Linked DNA regions of Nothobranchius furzeri. The main gene of each other region encodes a partner of the protein of the gene in region 2 in a complex. Links are inferred from orthologs where the notes say so. Each region holds a gene or a part of one and is shown on either strand. Other genes may lie near its edges.

Region 1 (3,754 bases), on a different chromosome or scaffold from region 2:
CAGGATTTCCTGAAAGCAAGCAAACAACAAAGAAAAAATATCACAAACAACAAATACTCTACAGACAAACATGAGGTGCTTCAAAGGATCAACTCAAACAACAAATAAATGTTTTCCAAACACCCATCAGCTCCGGCACCGCCATCACTCACGCCAGCTGCTCGTCGTGTGAGATCAAACCAACAACACCAACATCACTGATAAGCTTCAGGTGCAGGTGCTAGCAGAACAGCCACACGAGTGGTTCGTGCAGGTGGGGCTCAGCACACGCCCCTGTGGAGTGAAAGTCTGAAATAAATAAAACCGTGATCATGTGATCCTCAAATCTGATCTCCTTTCCAGCGTTCCTGACTGACCCGGGATCTGTTGTGTCTACTATTGTACAGGTCCGGGGCGAGCCCAGTTGGGGGGTTGGGTGTGTGGGCTGCAGGAGCCCAGTGACTGAGCTGACCACACGGGGAACTTGGTCGTTTTTCCAGGGTTTTGTCCTTTTCGTGGCCCGACCACGGTCATTTCTATTTACAGCTGTGGTCGTCTGTCGTTGTCTGAGTGTGAGACGGAGAGGCTGAGCCGTCCACTTCTTGCAGGAACTGAAAATAATTTATTATTGTGACGCTTCTCTTTCAGAAGCCGCCTGAATGTTTCAGAAGACAAAAACTGTTACGGTAAGCCAAAGAACGCGTGAAAAATGTGTCAGAGCGGCGTTTTGTGATAAAACGGGTCATCACTACTAACTCTTTCTCCACTCAGATCCAACAACTTATCACACGGAAGGATTCACAACACCTGTTGGGAGACAGCTGGTGCTTTGGGCCGACAGCTCACTGAACTAGAACCTTTAGTTCTGAAACAGACACTCAACCCTAACCCAGCACCAGATGGACTCCAGCAGCAGAAGACCACACCAGCTGTCAGCCAACAACAGGAACCTGGGCCTCAAATCCCCACAGCATCACCAGAAGGGACCGGAAAACGTTGCCTGGTCTGACGAGTCTAGACCTCCAACACCAGGATCCCAGTGTCGGTGCTTTTTCATCGAGTTCCTGATTATTTTCTTTGCAGTCAGAGTTTCTTACTGTTTGTGCCTCATAATGAAGAGAAGTGTGCTCACTAGGATGCAGTTCACGAACAACAATGTCCTGCTATGAAAATGGACCTCTCATTAAAACAATATGAAGCTGGAGGATTAGTTTCCAGTGTTGCTTTTCTAACAAACGATAAATATTTTCTAAATGAGCACACTAAACGTTTAGGAAGTGTCCGAGAGACTGCAACCAAATTAATGGTCACATTTATTATCATTATTATTATAATAACCAGAATAATAAACTCTTTAAAAAGCTTTAGCTTTCATTTAGTGCCCATAAAATAAATGTTAAATGAAGAAATGGTTCCAGGTCCATTCTGATCCGGAGACTGCTGTTTCGTGAGGATCTATGAGGTGAACAAGGGTCTGTAGTACCGGTGCTTGAATCATTAGTGTGGTGGATGGAACCGCTGATGTGTCACAACACACATACCTTCGATCTCGTTGAGACGACCGACTTTAGTTCTCAGCTCTTTGCGAAGGTGGTTTATTTCCTTGTCCAGCTGCTCTTGGTCTGCAGGTTGGAGAAACGGCTCAGACTAAATTCGACTCGTGTTAAAAACGGAAGATCTAACTTGTAAACGATAAAGGATCACCTTTCCGGATCATCTGCGTCGTTTTAGACTTGGAGAACTTGATGAACATGTTTCCAAAGCAAACCTTGACTTTTTCTGTGGACGGCAGCAGAGGCGGCCATTACTCCTTCATCACCAGGGTCACCAATAAACAACCACGAGTTTCATAATTAGCCTGAGATTATTTACAGATTACACGTGTTCCTTTAGGCAATAATAACAGACGGATGTTCCAGCTTTATGGGAACGTTTGGTTGTTGTAGCTACAAGGGTTCCTCTGTGGTGTTCTGGTGGCCTGAGTGCTGATGGATCACAAACCTTTATCCGACATCTCATGTTTCAGTGCGTTCAGCGCCTCTCTGTTGAAGTTTCTCTTCATGTCCAGGTCAACAATCTGAAACACACACACACGTTTGTTTTAAGGGAGGACATTATTAACTGGGATATCCGTGCGTGTGTGTGTGGTTTTAGAACAACAGTTTTCTTCAGATATCATGAACGCACCACCTGACTGGACCAGCTACAGAAGGACATTTGACTCTAGACAACATCGGTGTGGTGACGGGTAAATGAAGTGTTGAACCAACACCAGAACTTAGCTCTCTTGGCTCCAACCGCTAAAATCCTCATGCATAAAGCTGCTAACGCACAGAACTGCGTCTGAAAACCGCGTACGTCACATCCACTCACACTTGTTAGCATGAAGCTAGCAGCTGTAACCCGCTACGGGTCTCACCGCGTACGTCACTTCCACTCACACTTGTTAGCATGAAGCTAGCAGCTGTAACCCGCTACGGGTCTCACAGAACCAGCCTGGCCACGGTGGGTCTGGATGTGTTTACCTGTTGTTTGGCGGTGAGAACATCCTCAGCCGCCTCTTCCACTTCAGTCAAGCGCTCCAAAACACGCAGAGAAGCGTCGTCCATCTTTGAGTCTTCTTCTTCTGGGCTAACGGTGGACTACCGCCCCCTGCTGGAGAGAGGTCACCTCCGCATCCGCCGCGAAGCTTTTCACAAATGTATTTTCAGAGGTGTGACCATAGACTGTACATACTCCACATACAAATGTTTTTCTGTATTTTTGTAAATATTCTCATCATAAACTAAATAAATAGGAAAAACATTTTCAAAAGCATGTCCAAGTGGGCTCAAATTCTTCATGTATAGCAGGTGTGACCAAGTCACTGCTTTGCAAGTCATAAGTAAGTCACAAGTCTTTCCATTCAAGTCTAAAGTCAAATCCAAGTCAAAGACAACCAAGTCCAAGTCAAGTCCTTAACTTTGAATTTTCAAGTGATAATCAAGCCATCTGTCCAACTTCTATTTAATGACGATGATAATAAATTAATTCCAGAAAAAAACCTTCTTAAAGCTTCTTTTTTTTTGCTCAAACAAGCAGAAACTGAGACTGGTTATAAACAAAGCGCTGCTGCATTCAGCAGTAAATCAAACCCAGAACCAAGAATGATTTATGATTTTTGTCCATGTCGTGCCACTTCTGTGACAAAATATCAAACATTCTCAAGTCATCATCAAGTCAACAGATGCAAGCCGATTCAAGTCACAAGTCACTGGTGTTCAAGTCCAGTCAAGTCATAAGTCTTTATAGATTTTATCAAGTCAAGTCAGAAGTCATTCAAATAATGACTCAAGTCTGACTCGAGTCCAAGTCATGTGACTCGAGTCCACACCTTTGTGTATTATAGTCAAAATGTACAAGTTACTGTGCAAAACAAACAAATTACAAATCATTTTCCTTGGACCAATAGAAAAAAGTCCATCGTTCCTGAAACTTCAGCTGAATCCCTTCCAGAAACATCTGTTATTGTCACATAAAATAAGAGTGGACTCAGCATTAACGCCTTTAAACCAAGTTTCATGATGGACAGGACTTAAAAGCAACATTACACGCACGGTGGTCACGGGTGTAATGAACTGACCAGGTTTGAAAATGGACCCAAATATTCCAGAAACAGTTTTCAGACTTTCAATTTTCCACATTTTCCTCATTCAAACGCAGCAACACTCAAATAAGTACTTTTTATACTTGTGACAGTTTAAATGTTCTTGATTTAAAGAGCATAAGTTCTGAT
Region 2 (3,754 bases):
CGGCCAATGTTAGTCATTTTTTTAACATGTCGTTATCGGTTCGATAAATAAAACCGGGCCGATATTAACAACCGAAATTTTTTCCATCTCGTCTCCAGTTGTTTGTCTGTTTCAGAGGGTGGGGGAGTGATGTGTAATTGTTTAGTCATGTGAACAGTGAATGTTATCATCTCAGAACCGTAAATGTGTGTGTGGTGTGTGTACATAATAACGTAAATTCAGCTTTAATAACTTTTATTCTATAAAAAATCTGCTGATTTTAGAAGCATTAATGTCAGTATATCGGTATCGGCAAATATCGGTTATCGACCATAACAGTGACCTTAATATCGGTATCGGCAAATATCGGTTATCGACCATAACAGTGACCTTAATATCGGTATCAGCCCAAATATTTCATATCGGTGCATCACTACCTAAAACACATAACTCATATAGCAAAGAGACAGGAAAAAAAAAAGACTTCTGCAGACTTACTTGATTTTATTCCTTATAATTAAACACCAGCCCTTGTGTAAGTGAAGGATGTGAACAGCAGGTGACCGTTGTCAGTAAATGTAAATTTCATGGAAAAAATAACCCAAAAATATTAAATCAGCACTCTTGCTCAACTGTTTACTTTTTTGGAATATACAATTCCAGATGTGACACAAAACTATTTCATTTAGAAAATGAAATGAAAACAATACGGCAGAAATTGTAGAAAGAAACGAGGCTAATGTGTTTGCTGATGTGTGAGGAAGCTGGCATCACAATGATGAACAATCTTATTTATCTTTGGCAAAGAATTCAGCGAATTTAAAATGTGAAAGATGTCAATTAATTATAGAAAAAGTAAATAAATAATATTTAAATTTTATTAAATATTATAACTGTTCCGTTTTTTATTTGAACAGATTAGAACAAGTATATAATTTCTAGTTATATAATTCATTATTAATGATATAATTAATAGATTAGAACAAGTTCCTTTTTTTTAACAAACCAAATGGTTTTAGTTTCTTACTGAAATATTTTTGAGTCGTATTAATTAGCTGAATGAACTGAGTGAAGGGTCCATGTTTTTGTCGCCAGGTATTGTCTGTAATCCCCCTCTGAGGATAAGTTTTACCAAATGCAACTGTCCAGCAGTCCCTCTTGGTTTCCCCTTCCACAGGCTCCATGTTGGCCACAGGTAAATCCTTTTGTCTAGGGTCCCACACTTTTACTGTCCCTGTAGGAAAACAGTAGTATTTTTGTTATTTTACTGATGTGTGAATAGGAAAGACATCTAATACTTTTACCATCTCTGCTTCCAGTAACTATCTCAGGAGCACCATCACCAATCCCCAGGCCACCAACACCATCTATACTATTTACTATCTCCTTGTGGGCCTTAGCCGTGTACACTGGCACTTCAGGAGACTCAAGATTCCTGCAGATGACACCAATAAATAACAAATAGTGATACTTGTCACGTCCTTGTTATTCATACAAATGAACACAAAACACAGGAAAGAAAGGGGAACCGGTTCTTTCCTTGAATATTCTACAGATTTTGTGGCAACTTACCAGATATTAAGATTTCCATCAAAGTCCCCAGTTGCTAAGTGTCTTTGCTGCAGAGAAGTGGCACCAAACGTCCCACACTTTAGAGGTTTGGGTTTCTCCACCTGGGATGAGTCGAATGTATGATTCTGTTTATTATACTGTTAAAAAAATCTATCTATCTATCTATCTATCTATCTATCTATCTATCTATCTATCTATCTATCTATCAATCTATCTATCTATCTATCTATCTATCTTCTAATATTTGCCATCAGAGAACAAGTTCAGATTTCAGATTGCACGTTTATCTGATTGTATTTATTTGTGTGTTTTTACTATTTTGTCATTTAACTGGGTTTTTTGTTCAACGAGAAAAGGGCATTTCCTATCGACACACTGCCAGTTGCCATGGATACTTCCGTTCAAGACTTTTCTAGAACCTATGTAACCCAGTTAATTCCGGGATAACCAGAGAAAATGACACGTCCTAAACAAATCTTAACAATAACATAATGTGAGTAACAATAACAGTAATGGCCTCACTTCTTTAATAAGCTGAGCCTCTCCGTGCTGCAGCTCATATATCTGAATCACTCCGGTCCCTCTAGGATAGTTCCCCAGGCAGATAAACTTTGCGCTGCACGGAATCCATTTACTGTCAAACACCGTGTAGTTTAAACTCTTCTGAATGTGCGCGATCACTTGAGGCTTTGAAAGCGGCGATGACATTTCAAATGGAGGGGATTGGTTCCCAGCAAAACTGCAGACAAGTCTACTAAAAAGGAAATAAACTGGACTCAAAACAAACGTCATTGAGACTAAGAAGACCGCAGCTGCCTAAAGGAATGCCTGACTAAATACCACCGTAGTGAATACATATACCAAATATAAACAATAAAATAACTCATAATATGTTGAATGAATGTAATATGTTATAAATGTCTCCATATTAATAGTTTTTTTAACAATCCTGGCGTGTATTTGTACGTTTTTATGTCTAGGCGTTGATGATGTCGCAGTTTGGGTCCTTGCCGTCGCACGAGGCCATCCGATGCGACTGTGGCCAGAATCTGCTTCAGTTTCTTGTTTTGTAATCTGATTTTTAAACTTTTGTTGAGATGGACAGCGATAAAAACCAAACCCCAGAGGTGGAGGTGGGCGCGGAGAGTAAAAACGACTCTGAGTCGTTCACAAAGGTGAAGTCTAAAAAGACCCAGAAGCGAAAACGTGAACAGGACGGGGTGGACATGGACACGGAGGACAGCGTGGCGAACAAACGACCACAGTTTCCACCAATATCTGCAGACAAATTACGGGTATTTACGAAATTGCGGTGTTTTCTTATATAATACATACGTTTTAGGATCAAAATCAGCACTTTCTGTAAATCATGTATATTTATATTATTTACTGTTCTTACATTGGCTTATTAACTAGTAACAGCTTTGCGCCTGCGCACTATGGTCGACAAAAATGGTGCAAGCTCGCATTTAATGTCACAAATGACATTAAAACATACTTATGTTAAAATATCAATTTAGTCCGTGCTCAATTGCTAATATTGGTTTCCTTGGCATTTGTTATCCTCTAACTTGGTTGGAATAATGTGCTCAATGATGGAAAGCAACTGAAAAGTTTAATTTAAAATGATCACTAAATATTATAAAATATATTTTTAAGTGAAGTCTATTTGGCGTTATTCTTTGAAAATTTTTGTGGAGATTAACGCTGAATGTTGTGTTGCAGGGACCAGATGAGATGCGCAAAATTCCTGTTCCAGGTCACAGATACACCCCTCTCAAGGAAAACTGGCTAAAGATTTTCACCCCCATCGTAGAGAATTTACAACTCCAAGTCAGATTCAATCTTAAAACCAGGAGTGTTGAAATTAAAGTGAGTTTCCTCTACTACGTATTCCACCAGGAGAACAGCTTTGTGCTGGAGCTCACCCTTCTGTCTGGATTTGTATTTTCTCTTTTTTTTCCAGACATGTAAAGAAACGCAGGACATCAGCGCACTCACAAAAGCTGCAGACTTTGTCCGAGCGTTTATTCTTGGATTCCAGGTTGAAGTGAGTAAACTATCGGAAAGTTTCCGTGAGCTCAGTGTTTTTCTGAGGCACAACGTCAGATGATTGTCGTGGATCGTTAGTATCAGGCTGTGAACTAGTGGAAAGTGGGATTTGAGTGAAGATGTTATGAATTTGCTTGAGTTTTATTTGTTA

The links. Proteins that work in one complex are often made in the same cells at the same time.
Region 1: dnaaf10 (region 2) and pdrg1 share a complex: the UniProt entries of both Homo sapiens proteins name them as parts of the PAQosome complex. The link is inferred for Nothobranchius furzeri from reciprocal best matches to the Homo sapiens genes DNAAF10 and PDRG1.

The regions. Positions count from the first base shown.
Region 1 is NC_091743.1:5,381,623-5,385,376, reverse strand, and holds the start of pdrg1 (p53 and DNA damage-regulated protein 1), read right to left. Parts: upstream 2,660-3,754; 5' UTR 2,589-2,659; coding exon 2,505-2,588; intron 2,366-2,504; exon of another isoform or gene 2,197-2,365; coding exon of another isoform or gene 2,167-2,196; intron 2,057-2,166; coding exon 1,981-2,056; intron 1,759-1,980; coding exon 1,684-1,758; intron 1,602-1,683; coding exon 1,521-1,601; intron 10-1,520; coding exon 1-9. UniProt on the Homo sapiens protein: May play a role in chaperone-mediated protein folding.
Region 2 is NC_091752.1:37,855,967-37,859,720, forward strand, and holds the start of dnaaf10 (dynein axonemal assembly factor 10), read right to left. Parts: upstream 2,343-3,754; 5' UTR 2,260-2,342; coding exon 2,074-2,259; intron 1,653-2,073; coding exon 1,552-1,652; intron 1,448-1,551; exon of another isoform or gene 1,415-1,447; coding exon 1,284-1,414; exon of another isoform or gene 1,214-1,283; coding exon 1,112-1,213; exon of another isoform or gene 1-1,111. Other genes in the region: RNA-binding protein PNO1, read left to right, coding at 2,649-2,846, 3,277-3,423, 3,518-3,601. UniProt on the Homo sapiens protein: Key assembly factor specifically required for the stability of axonemal dynein heavy chains in cytoplasm.